Linked DNA regions of Oryctolagus cuniculus. The protein of the gene in region 2 purifies or fractionates together with the protein of the main gene of each other region. This does not show direct contact. Links are inferred from orthologs where the notes say so. Each region holds a gene or a part of one and is shown on either strand. Other genes may lie near its edges. The genes, in order: APBA2, CLSTN1 and KLC1.

The links.
Region 1: the proteins of CLSTN1 (region 2) and APBA2 purify together in Homo sapiens (affinity purification with western blotting; 3 studies listed by BioGRID and IntAct, with this or other methods). This does not show direct contact. The link is inferred for Oryctolagus cuniculus from reciprocal best matches to the Homo sapiens genes CLSTN1 and APBA2.
Region 3: the proteins of CLSTN1 (region 2) and KLC1 purify together in Homo sapiens (co-immunoprecipitation; 3 studies listed by BioGRID and IntAct, with this or other methods). This does not show direct contact. The link is inferred for Oryctolagus cuniculus from reciprocal best matches to the Homo sapiens genes CLSTN1 and KLC1.

The regions. Positions count from the first base shown.
Region 1 is NC_091443.1:11,725,819-11,729,457, reverse strand, and holds part of APBA2 (amyloid-beta A4 precursor protein-binding family A member 2), read left to right. Parts: intron 1-2,609; 5' UTR 2,610-2,649; coding exon 2,650-3,588; intron 3,589-3,639. UniProt on the Homo sapiens protein: Putative function in synaptic vesicle exocytosis by binding to STXBP1, an essential component of the synaptic vesicle exocytotic machinery. May modulate processing of the amyloid-beta precursor protein (APP) and hence formation of APP-beta.
Region 2 is NC_091438.1:158,404,351-158,407,679, reverse strand, and holds part of CLSTN1 (calsyntenin-1), read right to left. Parts: intron 2,811-3,329; coding exon 2,754-2,810; intron 1,973-2,753; coding exon 1,815-1,972; intron 1,619-1,814; coding exon 1,470-1,618; intron 1,250-1,469; coding exon 1,023-1,249; intron 646-1,022; coding exon 475-645; intron 337-474; coding exon 191-336; intron 1-190. UniProt on the Homo sapiens protein: Postsynaptic adhesion molecule that binds to presynaptic neurexins to mediate both excitatory and inhibitory synapse formation.
Region 3 is NC_091451.1:46,419,563-46,423,895, reverse strand, and holds the start of KLC1 (kinesin light chain 1), read right to left. Parts: upstream 2,893-4,333; 5' UTR 2,694-2,892; coding exon 2,683-2,693; intron 2,243-2,682; exon of another isoform or gene 2,026-2,242; intron 1-2,025. UniProt on the Homo sapiens protein: Kinesin is a microtubule-associated force-producing protein that may play a role in organelle transport. The light chain may function in coupling of cargo to the heavy chain or in the modulation of its ATPase activity.

The DNA.
Region 1 (3,639 bases), on a different chromosome or scaffold from region 2:
TTGCCTTCCGCGTGTTACCACCTACTTCAGCATCCAGTCCTTGACAGAGTGAGGCACCGCTTCTGGGCAGGAAGAAGTGAGATGGACTAGAACTTCTGGAAACAGTGCCAGGTTTATGGGCGAGTTTAGTCTCTGACCAGCCATCCTGGGACGCGGGGCTCTCAGTCTGTTCTTTGCAGGGTAGCGGGATATCCAGGAAACTAGTGATGTCTACACTTTGCTGCCCGTCGGAGTCGCCTGGGCCATCTTTATACCCACCGATGCCTGGCTCCCACCTGGAGCTTTCTAGTTTTATTGGCATGAGGTATGCCCTGGGCTTTAGCCTATTTAATAGGCAGCAAAGTGTAAAAACCACTGGGCCAACTATTTGGGGGAAAGGTAAGCTACTCCATACCTTATATTGTACGCCTCTCAGTCGGGGTGAATATGTGAATGTAAAGAATGAAGGATTCCAGCTAGTGTCCAGATTTGCTTGCTTCCAGGGAAGATGGCCCCTCCCATGAGAATCTGGAGCATGGAGCTGGGAACGGCTCTTTGGAATCATCCTGCCAGTTTCAGGGTTTCGGGTCATTCAGAGCCTGCAGGGTCCTTCCTGGCGTGGGATGTGCAACGTCGTGGGCCACTCTGGGCACACGCCGCGAGGCTCTCCGAGTTCTAGCACAAGCTGCGTGGACAGGCAGCGTCCGTGCCCTTTAACTCACGCACTGGAAGCAGGTGGCTCCGTCAGTCACTGTGCTCACACCGCGTGCCCGGGCTGCATGGAAGAATTGTCCCCTTCTCAGCTGTTCTGGGGGTGCTCGTGGTGTGACCATGCCCGTCTCGGGGTGGGCTGTGACTGGGGCTGTGCTGGGTGCTCTGCGGGACACAGGACGCAAAACTTTGTGGTTTATGAGCTCCCTGGGGAGAGGGTGCCAGGAAGAGGATGTACAGTGAGGTGGGCCTGGCGTCTGGGCAGTGACCATGGCAGGATCACTCCTGTCCACCCCCGTGCCCGCTGCCACCCCAGTACTCACTGAGCTGCTGTTTCTCATTCCTCCTCCCTGCTAAGCACCTGTGTCTCTTTTAATTCTGATGTTTAAAAATTGTAGTAAAATAGACATAACCCAAAATGTAAATGTGGGGTCATAAGCATTGTTAAGTCCATCCGTCAGTCCGTTCTTCCTTCCTTCTCTCTCTCTCTCTCTCTCTATTTCAGGGCAGAATGAGAGAGTGAGAGCAAGAGAGACAGAGTGAGGTCTTCCATCCACTGGTTCATTCCCCAAATGGCCACAATGGCCAGAGCTGAGCTGATCAGGAGCCAGGAGCTTCCTCTGAGTCTCCCACATGGGTGCAGGGGCCCAAGCACTTGGGTCATCTTCCACTGCTTTCCCAGGCCATAGCAGAGAGCTGGATCAGAAGTGGAGCAGCCAGGACTTGAACTGATGCCTATATGAGATGCTGGCGTCACAGGTGGAGGCTTCGCTCACTATGCCATGGTGCCAGCTTCAAGCTCTTATTTCTCAATGAGATTTCTAGAACAAGGCTTAAAAATGCATAAGTATGTGTAACGTGAAGGTGTGATTTAGAGAGTATGGCAAGCATCTGAGTAGCCATGCAGCTGGAGAAATGGAGCACGAAGCCAACCTCCCAGCACCTGCTGCGCCCTTGCTTGCCCCGGCTGCTTGCTCCCCTTGAGAGAATGGTCCCCTTCCTCCAGCTCTTCTACCCAGTGACCCTGCGTACAGAGTCCTGCATCCACAAGGTCTTTTCTGGACCCCTGGGTGCCGTGAGGCCTGCGCTGCAAGCTGGGGCCATGCCCACAGGCCCATCTCCTCCCCTGGGCCAGGCAGCAGCCTCCTCCCAAGCCCGAGCTGAGCTGCTGTCCTGGGGGCTCTGCCAGGTCACCTCCTGCACATTCAGGGCCCTGGTGAGCGCTGCTGGGTTTGGGGTGAGGAGGGGGGCGGGGTGGGACAGGCCTGTTGGGGGCAGACTTGGTTATCGTGACTTACTATCCAACTGTCTTTAAAATTCATTATGAAAGTAATAGATCCCGTAAGATACAAAGTCTGAACAGTGCTTGAAGATGGAAAATATAGACAGTAGCCTTCCTGTCCACCTCCTTACTGCACTTTATCTATTTAATTTTTTTAAAGTCGTCACGTGATGATTGTACACACTGGGGGTGTCATGTGGCACCTCCACGTGCCCATACCCGTGTCATGGAGCACGGGTGTCACCTGGGGGATTTGGGGCCCCTCCTCGTGGGTCTTCACTGCGCCTTCTGCCTGAATGCTGCTTTGTCTCTTTCAGAGCAAATGGCCTGACTGTGGGACCCTCTGTCTGGGGCATCGAGGGCAGGAGTCAGGAGGGAGCCGGTGGGTTCCGGGGCAGACGCAGGCGTGCTGGTGCGTGGCCAGCCTTGTCTGCCTGCCCCCCGCTCTCCCTGGCACCAGCACACCTCGTTCTGGCCGGCGAGTCTGATGGCGTGGGGAGGCCCAGGCTGCAGCAGTGTTGCTCACGTGCGGCTCCACGCAAAGCTGGTGGCCAGCGGGGGAAGCGGCCGTGTGCTGCTGGGGTTGACGGTGCTTCCTGGGGTCTGACTCTGCTCTCTGTGCCTCTCCTCCCCACAGTGGCTGCCTCCAGGGGATGATGGCCGCGTGAGCGTCCGCCATGGCCCACCGGAAGCGCCAGAGCACCGCCAGCAGCATGTTGGACCACAGGGCCAGGCCGGGCCCCGTCCCCCACAGCCAGGAGCCGGAGGTTGAGGACACGGAGCTGCCCCTGGAAGGCTATGAGCCCAAGGGCCTGGAGGTGGCTGCGCTGCAGCCTGAGGAGCAGGAGTGCCACAGCCACAGCCCCGACGGGGACTCGAGCTCCGAGTACGTGAACAACACCTCGGAGGAGGAGGACTATGACGAGGGCCTCCCGGAGGAGGAGGAGGGCGTCACCTACTACATCCGCTACTGCCCTGAGGACGACAGCTACCTGGAGGGTATGGACTGCAACGGCGAGGAGTACCTGGCCCACAGTGCTCCGCCCGTGGACACGGACGAGTGCCAGGAGGCGGTGGAGGAGTGGACGGACTCGGCCGGCCCGCACGCCCTGGGCCACGGGGCCGAAGGCAGCCAGGGCTACCCTGATGGCCACCTGTCCATCCCGGAGGACGAGCCCTCTGTCCTGGAGGCCCACGACCAGGAGGACGCCGGCCTCTATTGTCCCGGCAAGGAGGGCTACCAGGACTACTACCCCACAGAGGCCAACGGCAACGCGGGCGGCGCCTCCCCTTACCGCCTGCGCCGTGGGGACGGGGACCTGGAGGACCAGGAGGAGGACATCGACCAGATCGTGGCTGAGATCAAGATGAGCCTGAGCATGACCAGCATTGCCAGTGCCAGTGAGGCCAGCCCGGAGCACGCACCGGAGCCAGGGCCCGGGGACTCCACGGAGGCCTGCCCGCCTGGCGAGGCCGGCCGTGGCCCCAACAGGCACGAGGCGAGGCCCAAGTCGCTGAACCTCCCTCCTGAGGCCAAGCTCTCCGGGGACCCCCAGAGAGGCTTCAAGAACAAGACTAGGACCCCAGAGGAGAGGCCGAAGTGGCCCCAAGAGCAGGTAGGATTCTGCTGCCCCAGGGAAGGGGGCACAGGGACCTGGGGGTTGGTG
Region 2 (3,329 bases):
CCGGGGGTGGTCATTGCCGCCCGCCGTCCAAACAGCTCCCGGCCTGAGGACGCCAGGGGCCGCTCCACCCGGCCTGCCCCCCGCACCGCTGCCTCCACCGACGCTCTCCACGGCAGTGTCCTCAGACCCTGGGGGCCCCGGAGCCCCGTGTCCCTGCTGCTGGCTCCTCTCGCGGGGGCGCTGTACTCACCTCCACCTTAAATTCATTGCTCATGTAGCGGCCGTTCAGCTCCGAGCAGATGAGCTTGAACTTCCGGTCAAGCAAGGACCTGGTGTGCCAGTTCCGATAGCGCAGGAGGTGCAGGACCTCCTCGTAGCTGGCCATGGCGTCCACGCCTGCAGGGAGGAAGCGAGAAGCCTGCTGGCAGCTTCAACCAGGGGCCCGGGCAGGGCCAGGACCCGGGCAGGGCCGAGTGCACACCCCGGGGGGGGGGGGAACACCTTCCCTGTGGGAGGCCCCGCCCAGCCCCTCACCTGTGAAGACCACGCCCAGGTCGGAGTGGCTCACTTCAATGCCCTTCTGCTGCAGGCGGGCGACGTCCACCTCCAGGCTTTCCTGCTCCGGGTTCAGCTCCTCCCCCTCCACCGTGACCTCACAGGTGTCCAGGTCGTGCACTATCTCCTCCGACACCAAGGACTCTTGAACTGCAAAAGCGGCCCAACCAGAAGTGACCGCGGCTGTGAGGCCCGGCGTTGGCAGCGACCCCCACGGCTCCGTTAAGGCCCCGTGGCGGATGTCAGGGAGTCGCGTTCACCACCTGCGGGTCCCTAAGGACCCCCACCAAGAACAGCGGGGCCTCTGGCCTCGGGGGCCGACAGCCTCGAGCCACACACCTCGGAGAGCCAGACAAAGAAGAAAGGGCCCTCTCTGCGTGGGTTTTCACAGGGAACGACCCCCAGCCCCCAGATCAATCCTGGAACTGACCGAGGAACCACAATACAGTGAGAAAATACCCCCAGAGCCCGCACACAGAAAGTGCCCTGCAGGCGAGGGATGGCAGGAGGGTGTGGGGGGGTCTCACCTGTGGGGTCCTCGGCCCCGTCCCCCTCGGGCTCCACCTCCCGCGTGATGGTGCTGACGATCCGGAGCTCGGGGAAGAGGGAGACACCTTCCGCACTTTCAAACTCCGAAGCTGCGCGGGCAAAGTGGTGGACGCCGCTCAGGCTGATCTTGGGCTCCTCGGGCTGCAGAACCATCACGTAGCCGTCCACGGGGGGCAGCGAGATGCAGGCGGCCTCATTAAAGCACCTGCCGGCGGGAAAGGAAGGGTGACGGGTTCCGGGAGCCCACGCACAGCAGCCGCAGAGGCAGCGTCCACACACACGGCATGGCACGGGCGGCAGCCCCCAGCATGGCGGGCACACCGCGCCTCTCGCTCACGCCCTTCCTCTGGGGGGGGGGCTGCTGGGTTGTCTCCAAGACTCACACCCACGCCGCCTCCTCCCACGCAGCACCACGGGGGACCTACTTGACGGAGCTGGTGAGGGTGAGCCTCCGGACGCCGGGCGTGGGGAACTGCCGCGAGTTCACGTAGGACACGTGCTGCAGGGCCTTCTCCAGCTCCCCGACGTCGTCCCCCGCCACGGTCAGCACGGACTGGCCGGGGTTTGCTTGGATCTGAAGTCACCGCCGACGGAGAGAGAGGAGAACGGGTTCTAGGTGCAAGGAGCTGACACCCGATGGCCCCGGCAAAGGGGACGGCTTGGGATGGATCCGCTCGGGGACCCGCGGAGGCAGCGCTCACCCGGCGCCAGCGGTGGCGTGCGCGGCGCAGACACGGCCCTCGCCGCCCCCTCCCGCAGCCCAGCGCTACCTGCACGCCGCGGCCGCTGTCTTCGGGCAGCTGCAGCTCCAGCCCCTCTTTGCAGGTGTACAGGCAGTCGATCACCTTCTTGTCCGCGAGCTTCCCGGAACGGATCGTTAGGCCGGCCAGGTTTCCTCGGAAAAACTGAGTCATGCGCAGGTCACCCCCTGTGGAGCAGGGGAGAAGAGGGGGCGTGAGCGAGCGCCGGGCAGCGTCTCCGGGCACGGTTACTGGCGGTGCAGCTCGGTGGATGGACATGCAGGTTAGTTCACGCCAAACCCTGTTAGCCTTGCGATCTACATGGGAGGCGATGTGGACGGTGAGTCATGGATGATCATGCATGTGGCCTGCAGAAATGAGGGGCTGGGGTCCCCGACCGGGAGCCAGCGGCGCCAGCAGAGTGCCCACGCGCCCAGCCATGCCCCGGTGCAGCCGGCCTTGCCGGTGCCCCCCACCCTGCCAGCACTGCCGCGTCCCCCCAGGGACATGCCCTGGGGACACTCGCATGGGGGTGGCTGGGCAGGCGGCGACGCCGAGCGCCGTCCCTCCATTGAGGCACCCCTGCCTGCCCCGGAGGTGTGATGGGAAAACAAGACGCAGACACAGATGAGACAGAACCCCGCTTCAATCAGGACACGACATCCGGAAACGGGTCTCCCTGTCCCTGCGGTTCAACCACACAAGACAGAGGCGAGGGGCCGTGTGCGGTGGGATCAGGCAGGACCCATGAGCGCGCGGCACGGGTGAGTCATCTGCCCTCACTGGGCTGGGCTGGGGTGGGCAGCAGAGGCAAACCCCACGAAGCGATGGGGAAGCGCGATGCAGGGACGCAGCCCGAAGGGGCCTGGCCCCGAGCGACCGCGGCGTTTCATGCGACATGTGGGATGAGTCCCGTCTATCTTGGAATGGAACACGGTGGCGGACTGTAGGGAACAAAAATCCAGCAACCTGCAGAGGCCAAAGTCACGGGCTCAGTGTCAGTGTCATTTTCAACTCCTGAATACTCTGTGGAGAAGCAAGACAGAGACAAGAGGACGACCAGGCGGTTAGGGCTGCAAACAGGACCGGGCGGCCGGACGGGAGGCGGAGAGAGGTCCCCCCCGCCGCTGCCACCGCTGCGGACACGAGCTGGGGCTTGGTCACCGTGTCCCAGACGCCACCCCCTGCACTGCTTCCCGCGCCCTCCTGGCCAAATCACAGGTCACACTCAAACAAGGCAAGAGCACACATCGGGTCCACCGACCTCCAGCGGGCTGCTGGGCAGGACGCTCCGGGAAGGCCGCGCCCCACAGCCGGGCGCCAGGCGGGCATCGTTCCGCCTCGGACGTGGGGGAGCACACGGAGGGCCCCGGGCCCGGGTATGGGACACACATCAAAGCTCCTGCTGTCACCTTGAGACTGCTGCACCTTAGGGCAGGCGAGCCCCAGCTGCCTCTTCTGATCTCGGGAGCTGTACTGACAAGACTCCCCCGTGGGTTCTACGAGAATCCTCTATGCTCAGGCCCCACGGTGCCATGGTCTGCA
Region 3 (4,333 bases), on a different chromosome or scaffold from region 2:
ACAGCTGAGGCTGGCCCAGACCCCAGCTCCATCCACGCCTCCCACACATCTGCTGCCTTCCCAGGATGCATCAGCAGGAACTGGACGCCCGAGCGGAGCTTCACTCACAGCCCGCACAACCGCCCTACCGGCTGCTTTCAATCTGCACCGCAACTCAGCCGGAAGTCCCGTTCATCCTTTAAAAGTGGAGGCAGTACGCCAGGGACACTCAAAGCAGACCAAGTCCCTCCATCTGCCTCCAAAAGTCAGTTAAGGCGAAGTAAACTGTAACTCCCTGTTGACCCGAGACGGGGAGCAGAATGACACAGCAGGGCTGCAGGAGACAGCCAGCCTCCTGGGGAATTCTAAGGGAACCTGAGTCATTAGCAACTGCCACCACCTAACCCAGCTGAGCTCTCCTCAGCCCTTCCGGCCGCCTAGCCACTCTGAACGCGACCCCTTCCCCTTCCCCTGGCTCCCAAGGGCCTCTCCACACGGCTGGACGTCGGGACGCCACTGGCCTCTCACAGCAGGATACAGCCTCTCCAGTCCCGACCTCCAGCCCACCTGTGTCCGGACCCCTCCCAACCGCCGACTGGGCCGCCTGGGGTCCCACAAGCGCCTGGGATCTAAGGCATCCAAAACCAAACTTGCTTCCGTCCTGTTCCCATTGCCCGTCTTGGTGGGAAGTGAGCCGCGCAAGCCAGAGAGGAGGAAGCCGCTGGAGACGCAGGCCTTCAGCATGGATGAGGCGCGCGGCACTGCCGCTGAGCGGGCCGACAGAACCCGCCCTGCGGCCGCCACCAGGTGACGGTGTTTAGACAGAGGGAGGCTGGGGGGGTCGGGCGGGGCAGGTGCCCTGGAGGCCCCCGAGCCTGGGCACAAGAGGCGGCAGAGGAGGTGGGGTGCTGGGGGACACTGGGCAACCTCGGCGGAGGGCCGCGCCATCTGCCCGGGGTTCTCACGGGGCTGCTCGGCCTGCACCCCAGGGCAGGTCACTGTGACCCCTGCAATCCTCGCTAATCCGGCCGCCCCCACCCGGCTCCCGGGCCAGCTGCCCCCGCACAGCCGCTGGGCTCAGCCGCGGAGCGTCTCCCCACCACTGCCATGAGGAGTCGGGGTGCTGCCCAGGCCAGGCGGCCTGCTGCTGGTGGACACCGCCGCCGGGGGCTGCCCGTCGGCGCAGCACCTGCTCCGTCCAGCTTGCACAATCCTCACTGCCCGGCACCTGCTCTGTGGAGGCGCTGACCGCTTCCTCACCGCGAAGCGCCGGCCTGACACCCACCCACCCACTGAGGACGCTGCCAGCCTGCGCCACGCCTGCGTTTCATTCAGCTCTGCCCTGTCCTGCCTCGTCTATTCTCCAGCCCTCACGGAGAGTGACAGGGCCTTCCCTCTCCAGTGCGACGAAGCACCGCAAGAACGTAAAATCTGAACCGCAGCTTCTGTCGCCGGGCGCCCCTGCCCCTGGGGGCCCTCGGCCCTCGGCCCTGCAGGGGCTGCGGCCAGGCGCCCCGGCCTCCCCGCCCCGCCGGCTGCCAGGCGCGGCTGCACCGGGAGGCTGCGCTACCCACACCCACACCCACACCCACACCCAATTCCACACCACCCGAGACGCCGAGTCCGCGCGGCCGTGCATTCTCACAAGCCCCGGCCCTCCGCCCACCGGGCCGAGCGCTCCGCCTGCGCCTCCGGTGCCCGCACCTCAAAGGGCGTCGTCCTCCCAGCCCACCCGCCCGGACGCCGGCTCCGCCCGCTCTGCCGGTCCACACCGACGGCGGGGCCGGCTCCCCCGTCAGGCCCGCCGCGGCGCTCCGAGGGGCTGACAGCGCTCGCCGGGGCGGTGCCGGGCGGGCGGGGGCGGAAGGCAGCGCCGGCTCGGACAAAGCGCCGGCCGCGCCGCCCCCGCCCGCGGGCTCGGACCCCGCCGGGGATGCGGGGCGGGGCCGGGAGGCAGGGCCGGGGATGCGCGGCCGGCGCGCGGCGACCCGACCCTGCGGGGCCCCGGGCGCGGCCGGGCCGGGCCGGGCCGGGCCGGGCACTCACCGTCCCGCTCGCCGCCGTGCGCTCTCGCGCTGTCAGCTCGGGGAGCGGCCTCGGCCGCCTCAGGCGCGGGTCACGGGGAAGGGGCGCCGGCGCAGCGGCCGCCACGCATCCCCGGCCCGGCGCTGGGCTCTGCACCGCCGGCGCCGCCCGACGCCTCCCTCCTCGCAGCTTCGCCCCGGCCGCGCGCTCCGCCGCCGCCGCCGCCGCCGCCGCCGCCGAAAATGGCGACTCCGCGTCGCGCCCGCCCACAATGCCGCGCGCCCGCGTGACGTCACTCGCGCCTCCCCGGGAGCGGCCGCGGGCGGGGGTCGGGGGCCGCGCGCCGGCTCCGTGCGCCCCCGAGCGCGCCCCGAGGCGCTCACGCCCCCCGGCGCGGACGCCGCCCCGCCCGCCCCCCGGGTGCGGGCCGGGCCCGCAGGGCGGTGCCCGCGGCCGCCGCATCCCCGCTGCGGCCTGACTCAGCAGCCGGCCGAGGGCGCCGCTGACTCAGGGGCCGGCGCGGGGCCGCGCCCTCGGCGCTGTGGTCGGCCCGCGCCCGAGCCGGTGCGGCCCCGCGCGCGGGGGTCACGGCGGCCGGGCGTCCCCCTGCTCGCGCCCTGCGCCCCGGCTCGGCACCCCCCGAGGACCCCCGGCGGCCCCGCACCGCTCCCTGGGTACCTCTGACCCATGCCAGTGCCCCCGCGGCTCCCTCCGTCACTGAGGGTTAGGGCGAGGCCACGCCGACGGGCAGCACCGGCAAGGTCCCCGGGCAGAGACAGTCCTCCGGCAGGAGGGACCCGGCGGCGCCGGGCAGGGGAGAGGCGGACGCGTCCGTGGCGCCCACCGCTCCCGCGTCCTGACTGCCGTCAGGTTCAGACTCCTCAGCTTGGCCTGCAGGGCCCCAGGACCGGGGCTGCCACCCTCCCCTGCCCCTGGGTTCGCTCCGCTGTCCATGCTATCCACTCTGCCTAAAATGCCCCTCTCCCCCAGCCACTCCGAGACTCAGCCACGAGGCACCTCCTCCAGGAAGCCTTCCCCGCCTGCACCAGCCTCCCGTGCTCTGTGTGGTCAGCCTAGGGCACTGGGGCAGGGAGGGCCTGCGTCCCCTCAGCCCCTGACCCGGCTCTCCTTGGCCTCACCCCTCCCCTCGCGGGGAATGAGGAAGGGTCGGTTCTCAGATCACCGTGCAGCCACAGGAGCCCCGTCGCCTCACGGCGTCGGGACTGCACACTCGGTCACCACCCGTCGGGTCTGCAGCCGGGTTACAGCAGACCGTCAGCTCCGCCAGTCCTGCTGCCAAAGGTTTTCCCCAGCCTGCACGGGGAAGGGGCGTGGGAGGCAAGTGCACGGTCCCTTCTCAAAGGTACCGCATCCAGGCAGGGCAGGCTCCCCGCAGATCCTGGGCCGGCCGGGCTCTCGGTCCGCGTCCGCCCCAGGGGGTGCTGGCTGCTGCTTGAGGCCAGGCTGGTGCTGCACAGTATCTCTGACGCTGACCCATCCCTCGGACAGCAGGTGCGGCCACACCCGCTCACACACAGCAGGCGCGGCCACACCCGCAGGGCTCACACACGAGACGGGTGTTAGCGCGGCAAGGCTGGCTCCTGGCGGGGACAGGGGCTGACCTGGGACAGCAAACGGCCGGCTTCTGAGACAGGAGAAACCCAGAGGGCGGGAGACGGCTGGGAAGGGCGTGGGCCGTGAACCTGTGGGTGCTCGGCCAATGAGAGGGGAGGGCGGGACTTGTGCACCAGGTGTGTGTGAACCTGTGGGTGCTCGGCCAATGAGGAGAGGGGGGAGGGACTTGCGCACCAGGTGTGTGTGAACCTGTGAGTCCTCGGCCAATGAGGTGAGGGGGGAGGGACTTGTGCATCAGGGTGTGTGAACTTTTCAATCCTCGGCCAGTGAGGAGAGGGGGGAGGGACTTGTGTGCAGGTGTGTGTGCCTCGTTCCCTGTTCTGAGTGTGCTGTCCCCAGACACCCGCCCTTGCCAGGCTGTGAACAGAGCCTGGCTTTTCTCTGACCTGTGTGTCAGAGTCCATCCTTCCAGGCCGGGTGGTCTCTGGTGGGCTTATTTCCCACCCCCGTGAGTCTGATTTCCGTCAAGATCCTCAGGAGTTCTGCTCAGCCCTGGAGCCATCAGCAGGCAGCCTGGGCCCCCGGGGCGCTGCCCTGGATCAAAATGTGGGTGCTGTGCCCCACGCCCTGAGCACCCGGCAGCTCCAGCGGGGACCTCAGGAAGCCCACCTGGCGGCGGCACCAGGGCGCGGCGGTCTCCAGGTCATCCTGTCCTGGGGTTTCACTCCGAGATGCTGAGTCCCCTCTGGTCCTG